Linked DNA regions of Arabidopsis thaliana. The protein of the gene in region 2 interacts with the protein of the main gene of each other region in a pairwise test. Each region holds a gene or a part of one and is shown on either strand. Other genes may lie near its edges. The genes, in order: OFP8, HTA13 and AT2G18670.

Region 1 (3,504 bases), on a different chromosome or scaffold from region 2:
CTAGTCGTTTGAATAACATGTTTTGTTATCTTCAATAGTTTTATAAGATTAATAACAATGAAAATCTTGTGTCTATGAATGGCAATGTTAGCCAATATGATTAAAGCTAATGTGACATTTTTTTGTCAAGCTTTCAACTAAAAATTAAATACTGTACTATCTTGCACAGAAGTTATGTCGCAATAGAAGTTTTTTTAAAAAGACAAATAACTGTATTTTTCTATTTTGTTTTTAAAATTCATGCTCCTATAAATATGGCTCGTGGAAAAACTTGGATTTATTTTAAAAAAATAACCGTTGTTTCGTCACATTTTAGAGAAACTTGTTTTTCTTATTAATTTTGTTTTGTGAATGGACACATTTCACAATACTATTGGTAAAGGGACTTGTGATTTATAAGATACAGTATTGATTTCTTATATAAATATATATTTCTTTGTAATAAATTTAATTTTGATACTCATGATATATATCTATGAGAAAAAAATGATGTGTATTCAATCTATTTAAAAAGTTTGAATTTTCTTATCTATGTCTAGTTTATATATTGTTTTTTTTAATAAACTGTACACAACAATATATGCAGAAAATTCTTTAGGTCTTGATAAAGTGTTCAATGCTTTAAATGGTATGTCGCTGTCTGTTTTTAAGGCCTACCGTTTTCTTGTAAAGTAACTCAATTTGGTTCATGAAAATCAAAATACAGAGAAAGGCTAAGACAAAGATAATCTGAAAACAAAAGAATCTAGTCGAAAAAAAGAACCAACCACTAAAGCAAGATTCAAGACTCAAAATAGTACATTTTAGCAAAAGATGTTAAAAAGTAGATATAGAAATTAGGGAGAGAACAAGGTGGCATAAATTTCTAAGAACACTTGGACAATAACTTTGTGGTGTTGACGAGAGTTTAACGACAAAAAACACTGAAGAAGCTGTTGTAACTCAGCCGGTGCAAATATCTGTCTCTCAACAATCATCTCCACCATTGACGTCCTGAAATCTTCATATGGATCCTTTGACTTCTTCACCACCGCAAAACTCTCCGCCTTTGAAGAGTCCGAGGAGAAGCTTCTAGAAGAAAAGAGAGTATCAGAATCATCATCTTCACTTTCTTCTTTGTCTCCTTCGTCTTCTTCCTCACTACAAGACCAGTACCAAGACCCGGTTGACTTAAAACGTGAGGCAAAGAGAGGGTCAGAACCAAACTGCGATCTTTGCTTCCTGTTTGTCTTGACCTTCTTCCTTAAATCTCGAAATGAACGGCTCTCTTCGTAGAAAGGGTTTGGTGGGAATATAGGTGACGCACGAGGGCAAGAAGAAGCATGACTCTTTGGTCGTGATGGAGTTTTGGTTTTGGCTTTGGTAACGAAGAACCTCTCGGAAGACGTTGCTTTACTTGTAACAGCACAAGTCTCGACGACGTCGTATAGATCTCGTGGTCGGCAAGAGCTTAAAGATGACCGGACTATTCTTGAAACCCGGAGCTTCATTCTCTTCTCCATGTTTAGAGAATATCGAGAGAGACTAATGAAGATGGTGTATTAAAGTCGTGTGATATAAGACTTTTGAGGGAAGGAGAGATAAATTCTCTGTTGTGTTTTTTCTTGTACTAGCATTCATTTTTCGTAATATTTATGATAATTTAATGATTACAACTTTTTACGTTTAACTCTTTCTGCAATGTCTTTTGTCATTTCACTGTCGTCTTTATCTTAAACTATTCGAATTGCTGACACAAAAATTAACCATTGGAATTTCCTTGTTGCTTTTTTCTTTCTGTTTTTATTTTAGGTAGAGACGCTTGACCTTGCTTTGCTCGTTTTTCACTAATTTTAAAATATTTTAATTTTGAAAATTTGACATGAAACTGTTTTGTAATGTTTGTCATCTTGTAGACTAGTAAAAGTCAGTTTCTCTTTGATTTTTTTTATTTATATAACAGTCAGTTTCTTTAGCTTTTCGAATTCCTCATTATCAGGCAACTTAAAAAGTAGAGTTTGTTAAAACTTCTTCTACTTGGAAGATTTTATCATTGTTAACTTAAAGGATTTGCATTGTAGTACCAGAAGTAATTAAGTACTATAGTCAATCTTACGTTAACGTTACAAAGTTTTGGTGATACAATTCTGAATTCTTTTTTAACGATGCATAATTGAAACTTCTCCCCGGAATTCGTGCATCGGTTTTGGAGAATGAACGTTTTTTCAAAAAGGCAACTTAATTCAAAATTAAATGATTGAAAATGACAATTACACAGAAAGGTTGTGCACGATGATCACCAAAAGTCAGATTATATCTGCAAGTAAATAAAATAGATAACATTGACTTTCGTAACAAGAAAAAGGAGAGATTCATTTACCAATAAACAAAATTTTCCAAAACTTGCAAATAAGATTTACTTTTTGAAATCATCAATGGTAGTTTGATGAAACTGAAAACATTCCATCTATCCTAATGGACTTTTGTTTAATAAAATGAATATATATTGAAAATCTTGAAATATGATCATTAATCAAATTGCATGTTTAGTCGTCGCAAGGTAAAGTTTTAAAACTGCAATGTCTATAAAGATTAGGTATTGTTGTGTCCATCCGACTACTAACATTTTTCAAAACTAATTTTCATTAATGTAACCATCGAAGTCGAACACTGATGTATAAATCTTCTCCACAATCGTTTCTTTCAACATGTTGAAGAAATGAAAAAAAAAAAAAAAAAAACAAAGAATGAATTTTCTTCCTCTGCTCCAGTGGAGCAGCCCATGCATATAATCCCACTATGGGGATCGAACCCCAATGAAAACAGAGAACCTGGCCAAGTGGAGGACCACTATAGCCTATATAGTCAATTTAGCATGATTTATTAATTTTCAGCTGCTAGAGCAGACTTCCTAAATGCAAATTCCTAAGGACAATTGAAATATTTCTTATAAAGAAAAAAGGAGGAGGAATGATAGGTCTGATGTTTGGAAGTGTATATGCTTATTGGCTAATCTAATTTACCTTTTTTACGTTATTGTTAGGTTTTGGTGTGGTGGCAGGTTGGGGACCATATTATCTGCCTCTTCCTATTTGAATTTCAAAAAGTTTACACTAATTTGGGTATGCATGATACATTTCAAATAAAATTGTTTTTTTTAGTGGAGGCTAATGTTTTTAGAAATTAGTATTTCTTCCTACATATTTTAGCTCTTTGAATGATGATTTTAAAAATGATTTACCTAAAACAAAATTGCCAGTTTTCCAAGTAAAAGTGAGACTACATTCTGTGGTCAGTGTAAATGACAGTAGAAAAAAGACTGGACCCCAGACACGGCTATATGCTAGGCTAATCGATTCGACCCTGATGCTCTTCTCCGCCTACCCCTCTTCTGCCTGATTCTCCATATGCTTAGTAGCACTAGAACTCCTACAACACAACCCGAAAAAGTTTGATGACCTACTTTGGAAACAAGAATCATACTGATCATGCAATGAAAGGTTAAGCAAGAGACTAAATATCTTC
Region 2 (3,309 bases):
CTTACCCATCTCGAGAAGAGGCTCTAATGTCAAGCTTCTCTTCCTCTGGCCTAACCCTTCATTCATCGATCCCGCCGTTAAAGCTTTCCGGTCAGACTCTATCCACCACATTGCCATGTCTCCGGTCTCAGACTCTCTTAAAACAGCTCTGAGATCTGCTGACGTGGCGATCTTCATGGCTCCGGAGAAATCGCAGCTGGAGGATGTTAAGACCGCGAGTGAAGCTTTTTCTACAAAACCTGTAGTAATGATCAATCCGAGATGGTTGTTTGAAGAAGAGAAAAGCTTTGGAGATGGCTTTATTGGTTCCTTTGAAGTGATTTATGCGTTCACTGGCTTAGAAGTGAGAGGAGTGTTTAGTAAGAGAAAAGGAGTGATCTTTAAGTGTGTAAGAGACGGTGTTGTGAGTGGAGAAAGATGGAATGTTCTCGTTGAAGAAGAAGAAGGTAATGGTACTTTGAAAGTTGTTTCACAATTCAATTCTCGACCATCAATCGAAGAAGTTGAGCTTGTTCTGTATAACTTGATGGCTATGAATTCTCCTATTACCAAATCAGCTAAGTTTCTTAGTGATTTGGTTTCAAATATCACTGGGAAGAAGTAGTTTGTTAGGACTTCAATGTGTATTGATTGTGGATTCAATTCAAAATAATAAGATTTTAATACTTGTTTTTGAAGCAAAAGAGAGACTACACAACACCATTAATGAAAACTAATTCAGATCTAATCTAATGAAAGACTAAGCTACACATTAATTAGCTAAACAACCACAACACAAATCCCTAATCTAATCTTCATCAGCGGAAGGTTTTGAAGCACCAGCTTTCTTGGGAAGAAGAAGACTGTGAATGTTAGGCATCACACCTCCATTAGCAATCGTCACATCTCCAAGCAGTTTACTCAGCTCCTCATCGTTTCTCACCGCGAGCTGAATGTGACGTGGCACAATCCTAGTCTTCTTGTTATCCCTAGCTGCGTTTCCAGCCAATTCCAATACCTACAACACAACAGATCCAATTTAGAAATTAGGGTTTTACGAAATTGAAGATCGAAAGAGTAAAGAGATATAGGGAGAGAAGGGGATAATTACCTCAGCGGCGAGGTATTCGAGAACGGCGGCTAAGTAAACCGGAGCTCCGGCACCAACACGTGTTGCGTACTTGCCGTTCTTTAGAAAACGAGCGATACGACCAACGGGGAATTGGAGACCGGCTTTGCTGCTTCTCGATGTTGATTTCTTAGCAACGCCAGATCCGAGAGTTTTGCCGCGACCCGCCATTTGTGATTTGGGAAGAGAGATAGAAAAAGTTGAAAATTCTCAATGCGAGGGAAATTAAGATAAGCGTAAGAGGACGCTCTTTGGTTATTATATATACTGTGTAGAGACGGTTGAGTGATTCTTATCCAATAATAAACAATCACGCGGATCGATGTTACTGCCGTTGGATTAGATTATGATCGACGGTTTATAATTGGCACGCTTGAATTTACGTTTTTATACTCCTGAATTCATTGTTAGAATTGGGATTGACGGAAATACCCTTCAGTGGGTATAATCGACATGATTTAAATAGTGAAAATATTTTGTAACTCAAACATATTTTCGCAAAATAACTACTAAAATAGTAGATTAATGATATTTTTAGTTTGTTAATTATACACATCTAATTTTAGTGAATGTTATGAATAATTTTAAAATTTATGAAAATCTTACTTTTAAAACGTATAATATGGAAATGTGGTATATACATTCATCAAAATTGTGTGACACAATTTCAGGTTTATCATAGTATATATTTTTCTAAACATGATTAATCAATTTTTAGCATGTCGTATTAATTACTAATTCACGATTACACATTAGGTAATCAACCATATATAGAATCATGTGTTTTTGACTTTGAAATGAAATGTACAATACTAATTTGAGAAATAATACATGATGTGTCTTACTAATTTTCAAAGTGACAACTCATAAACGTTAATAACATGACATAGTTAAAATATATATAAGCAGAGCATGTAGTCAATATCGTCAACAAAAAAAAATAGTTACTAAATCAAAAGAGAATAAAAAACGCTAGAGAAAAAAAGAAGGAAAAATTGTTTTCCGATAAACAAGAGATATAAATACGACAAAGAAGCCACCTCCTTCTTCGCGTCAAACCAAATCAAGAACGCCTTTTAAACAAAAACACAAACACAAAAACAAAAACACTGTAAAAATCAAAACATAAATTATGGAATCTCCGGAGGATAGAAACGGTAACGATGTCCGACAACCGCTGCTAGAGAAAATTCCGGTGAAGAAAGAAGCGGAGGGAGAGGAGAGATTATGCATAGATGAGATGTTACAAAGATATTGCGGCGAGTTTGGGAGGTGGCAGTTGAAACACTTCGTGTTGACGTGTATTGCTTGGGCTTTAGAGGCGTTCCACACGATGGTGATGATATTTGCCGATCAAGAACCCGAGTGGAGATGCGTCGGGTCGGATTGTCGGGTCGGGTCATTGAACTGCGAGTTGGATCCGAGTTCTTGGGAATGGACGGCGGGTAAAGGGAGCTCCACGGTGTCGGAGTGGGGATTGATTTGCGGCGACAAGTATAAAGTTGGTCTTGTTCAGGCTCTCTTCTTCGCCGGCTGCATGATCGGTAAGTTTTTTTTTTCCCTTCTATATTTTTTTTGTGATTTAGGAAAATTACAAAAACAGTAAATTACAGCTGTAGCGTGAAAATGATTTTTTTCACGTCGAATAGTTTTTCTAATTACAGTCAAAAAAAGAAGATTAAACTCTAATCTTGGATTATCTTCTTAAGAAAAATAAATAAATACATAATTAGGAGTTTAGTATAGTTTCTGAGTGTCTTATCTAATTCGATAAGACAAAAAAAAAAATCATTCTAAAATTATGAACTTGTAATTTAGTGGATTTAGCTCTTTACGTGATTATCCGATAATTAATGAATATATCAACAAACAATAAATTAGTTGTTAGTTGTGTGCATAACTTAGCTAGTGTATATCGATCGCACCAATAAATTAGTAAGAGCAGATCAATGGGCACGTTGGCTTGAATCTGGATATTCGTACCACGTGCCTTGATCACATGAATCTTTTATGATTATCCGAATTTTAGAAAATAACACTATAGAGTAAAGATATACCTCACTTTTTTTCCGATATACCTTTCATTTCTATAGTATATTATAAATTTTGGATGATAATGCTTTAAAATTTTAACCCATTAGGCGGTCCAAGTTTACACACGTAAAAAAAATGATTGGCGAAGAAGAAAAGATAGACTTTGA
Region 3 (3,840 bases), on a different chromosome or scaffold from region 2:
ATTTGTGCAAACACTATCATCACTACCACAAATTTTACTGCCATTTTTATCATTTTCTTTAACTTGTTTGTGAAATAACGAAGCAAAGGGAAGCGAGTATTTATATATAATTGGACTCAAAGACTGTAAGTAAAAGGAAAAGTCTTTGGTCTACGTCAAGTCTTCCATTACTTATTGTATTGATTTCATACAGGACAATTTGTTATTCCTTACTCCACCTAAATTTTCTTGGTGAATTGAATGAATATGAATATATGATGATGTGTGAAGGAAAATTCCACGAGGGTTTGAAATTTAAAGTTCATTTTTTTTTTCTTTGTGGATATTATTTTCACAAAGCTGCGAAGGAAATTTCGAAGAAACTAAGGAGGGTATTCTCAACATCACTTCGAATCCTACCTTGAGAAAATTCTCAACCTTACCCAAATCCAAAACCATCGGGAAAAGTATAACCGTCTTTTAAACCTTCTGATGAGTGTTAGGTTCTAACGTTAGGACCATCTACTAAAACAAAATGTGTTAATGAAGAAAGTCCCACATTAAAAATTAAAAATTATCAAATAGTATATAAAGTGTTAGGGTCACTCCACCTATTACCAATTGATTTTTAGTTGAAATCTCATATTAAAAGCCCAAATCTATCATGGTATCCGAGTCAGATTGTTCTTCAACTTTTCTAAACATATAAAAAAATAACTTGAACAAAAGGTAATAGTGAAATCTAGAATATTCTTCGGACTTCACGTACTTGCTCCCTAAGATATCTCCAATATTCGGTTTGTTACATAACACCAATAAAATTAGTCAAATGATGAAGTATGAAAAACAAATTTGCTTTATTGACCTCTTTTACAAGAGAAAGACAAATGTCTCTTCTTTATTTTATTTTTTTGAATCAAGACAAATTTCTCTTTGTTATCATGTCAAGTAAATCTGCGTTTATGAATTCAACATTCTGGAAAATAATTGGGCTTAGTGGGCCTTCAAATATCATTTTATGTAAAGGCCCAAATCTCTATATACCAATTAAACTTTCTATCGCTGAGAAAGAGATTTGATCAAATTAAACTTAAGATAACGATTGCCCTTACCGAGGAAGTTGCCTTTGTCGGCTTGTCGCTATAATTCATCAATCAAAGATTCAAAATATAAAAAATGAGATTTTAACTTTTAAGCATATGTCATTTGTGTTGTTATATCATCGTCCAAGTTTAAATTTACAAAACGTATATTGTTAAGAAAAAAAGAGAGCAAACCAAAAGAATGTACAAAATTTCAAAACGTCCGAATCAAACGACAAGCTATGTTCAGAACGAGTATTTAGAATTAGTAGCGATTCCATAGGCCTCCAAGTACGAATATTACTTTTAAAACTAAATTATAAGTTCGAATATTCCATCTTTTTCCATACTATGGTCTTAAAAACAGTGGGATGATGATATTTGCTTATCCTTCAAGATAATGTTTAAAATTATTGGATGAGAAGATATTTCTTATTATTTATATTTCTTGTAGACATGGAGCCAAAAAAATTTATATATATATATAAAAATTAAAATCTTTTATCACATGATCCAAAGCCCAAAAAGTAAAATAAAAAGTATCTCATCACATGACCATTTTTAACCAAACGTTACTGTCACTAAATGAAATCTATTTTTCTTTCTTAAATTTTGCTCTGACAAATATTTTTGATTGCGTCATTTTCTACTTTGGAAATGTCTTTGATTTAGCATTTCAGTTCGCTCAAAACATCAAATCTTACCTTCTTTAGCTTTCACATTAGATTCTGGTAATTATTAGCACAAAAAAAAGATAAGCCAGAATACGAAACAACCAAAAAAAGAGGAGAATTCTTTTTTTTTTTTTTCTTTCCGATGCCTCCGACCAATAATTACCGAATCTCCGGCGAACCACCGTCTACTACGCCGTCTCATCCACCGCCAAAACCGAAAACAAGGATTCTCTCTCTATTCCTCGTTGGTGTAATCATGTTTTCAATCTTCTTTCTCTTCCTCGTTCTTATCGGTATCGCCTCTGTTCTTATCCTCCCTCTCCTCCTCTCTTCTCTCCATCGTCACCACCGACGTCGTCGTCGTAATCGCCGACAAGAATCCTCAGATGGGTTATCTTCAAGATTCGTGAAAAAGCTTCCTCAATTCAAATTCTCCGAACCTAGCACATACACACGGTACGAGAGCGATTGTGTGGTTTGTTTTGATGGATTCAGACAAGGACAATGGTGTCGGAATCTTCCTGGTTGTGGACACGTGTTTCATCGAAAGTGTGTGGACACTTGGTTGCTCAAAGCCTCGACGTGTCCTATTTGCAGAGCTAGGGTTAGATTGTGGGAGGAAGATCCACAAGAAGGAGAATTATGGAGATGTTTTGGTCATAGAAGAAGTAGTTTGCTAGATTTGTAAGTGCTATGTTTCTTGTTTTTGTTTTGTTTCAATCATATTTGGATTAGAAGTTATAATCATTTAATAATGTTTTAAGCTCATTCAACATAGTTATAGTTTCTAACTCGTTCTTGATGACTAGTTCGTTGGAGGAGACTAATTGCTTCATTATTGGTTTATAGAATGATTAGAACCCTTAAGCTCTCGAAAAATATATAAATAGATAGATATGTAGTCGTTTTCAGTTTTAACACGGTGCTACAGAGTTTCTTGACCGATTCAACACGAATTGTTGAACATGTTACCGAGCTCTTGTTTTCTCTCTTTAACATCTCTATTTGTGTCGCTGTCAGGAAGTAATTGTTTAGACTTTTCATCGATGTGTTATACTTCGGTTTCTTGTTCTTGAATTTGTCTAAGTCTTGGTTTCTTTCGTTTGATTTTTGATTGAATAGGTAATATTGTGTGGTTATGTAGACGTGGACTCAGTCTAATGGATGATAAGAATCTCCAAAACTGAAGCTACGAAGAGGTACAATACAAGCCAAGGACTCTTTCCTCCATAGAGAAGTAGCGGGTCGATCTTATGGTAATATATAAGCACTAAGCAGATGGGCGTTTGATCATATAAACCCTCACTACCATTACCAAAAAGCAATAGCCAAGAGCTTTTTTTTTCATTTTCTTTTTGAAAGCCATGGATCGGTTTTCGTTCTTGAATGTTATAATGGAGGTTGCGGGTATTCTAAATGAATCCCGCAAACTCTCCTCAAGAACAAAAAGTTGATGTTCTCAGTCTTGGTATTCCCTCTCTTACTCAATTGTTTAGTTTACTTGTTCAACGCCATTGCCATCAAACCCGAGATAACAAACTTGATCCTTGAATCAAGTTTGTTACCTATGACAGATCCAAACACCCCGGAATTTGCTGCCCATCTTATGAGAGTCTTTGTAGATTTTCGCCAGTTTGTCAATTCTTTATACATCTTCATCGCCGTCTCCTCCATCATCAACCTTTTATCCACTCTTGTCATGGTTCATGCATCGGCTCTTACTCATAAAGATGATAGCTTCGAGATCAAAGATTTTCCGATTCTGACGCTTAAATATTGGAAGGGACCTCTTGTGACCAATTTCTATATTGTTCTCTTCAGTCTTGGCTATTGGTTCCTATTCTTTATAGTCCTATTTTCTATCGTTTTCTTCTCTACAAAACTCGATTCCTTGGCAGCCAAATCTCGCGCTTTATTCATTGTATTTGCAGTCTTTGAGTCTTACTTAGCTATCGTTTGGAACTTATCTATGGTCATATCGATACTCGAGGATACTTATGGGATCCAAGCTTTGGGGAAAGCTGCAAAGATTGTTAAAGGGATGAAGCCAAAACTATTCCTCTTGAATCTTTTCTTTGGGTTATTGTCATTTGGATTAGTTCAAA

The links.
Region 1: the proteins of HTA13 (region 2) and OFP8 interact in a two-hybrid assay, tested with the Arabidopsis thaliana proteins (one large-scale study listed by BioGRID).
Region 3: the proteins of HTA13 (region 2) and AT2G18670 interact in a two-hybrid assay, tested with the Arabidopsis thaliana proteins (one large-scale study listed by BioGRID).

What each region holds. Positions count from the first base shown.
Region 1 is NC_003076.8:6,638,796-6,642,299, forward strand, and holds OFP8 (ovate family protein 8), read right to left. Parts: upstream 1,614-3,504; 5' UTR 1,503-1,613; coding exon 837-1,502; 3' UTR 660-836; downstream 1-659. Other genes in the region: S1P (SITE-1 protease), read right to left, coding at 3,323-3,408. UniProt on the Arabidopsis thaliana protein: Transcriptional repressor that regulates multiple aspects of plant growth and development through the regulation of BEL1-LIKE (BLH) and KNOX TALE (KNAT) homeodomain transcription factors.
Region 2 is NC_003074.8:7,227,442-7,230,750, reverse strand, and holds HTA13 (histone H2A 13), read right to left. Parts: upstream 1,362-3,309; 5' UTR 1,280-1,361; coding exon 1,091-1,279; intron 998-1,090; coding exon 788-997; 3' UTR 605-787; downstream 1-604. Other genes in the region: AT3G20680 (plant/protein (DUF1995)), read left to right, coding at 1-604; OCT4 (organic cation/carnitine transporter4), read left to right, coding at 2,241-2,652.
Region 3 is NC_003071.7:8,091,592-8,095,431, forward strand, and holds AT2G18670 (RING/U-box superfamily protein), read left to right. Parts: upstream 1-1,628; 5' UTR 1,629-1,877; coding exon 1,878-2,419; intron 2,420-2,857; coding exon 2,858-2,861; 3' UTR 2,862-3,188; downstream 3,189-3,840. Other genes in the region: PNP-A (plant natriuretic peptide A), read right to left, coding at 1-53; AT2G18680 (uncharacterized protein), read left to right, coding at 3,189-3,840; AT2G18685 (uncharacterized protein), read right to left, coding at 3,233-3,436.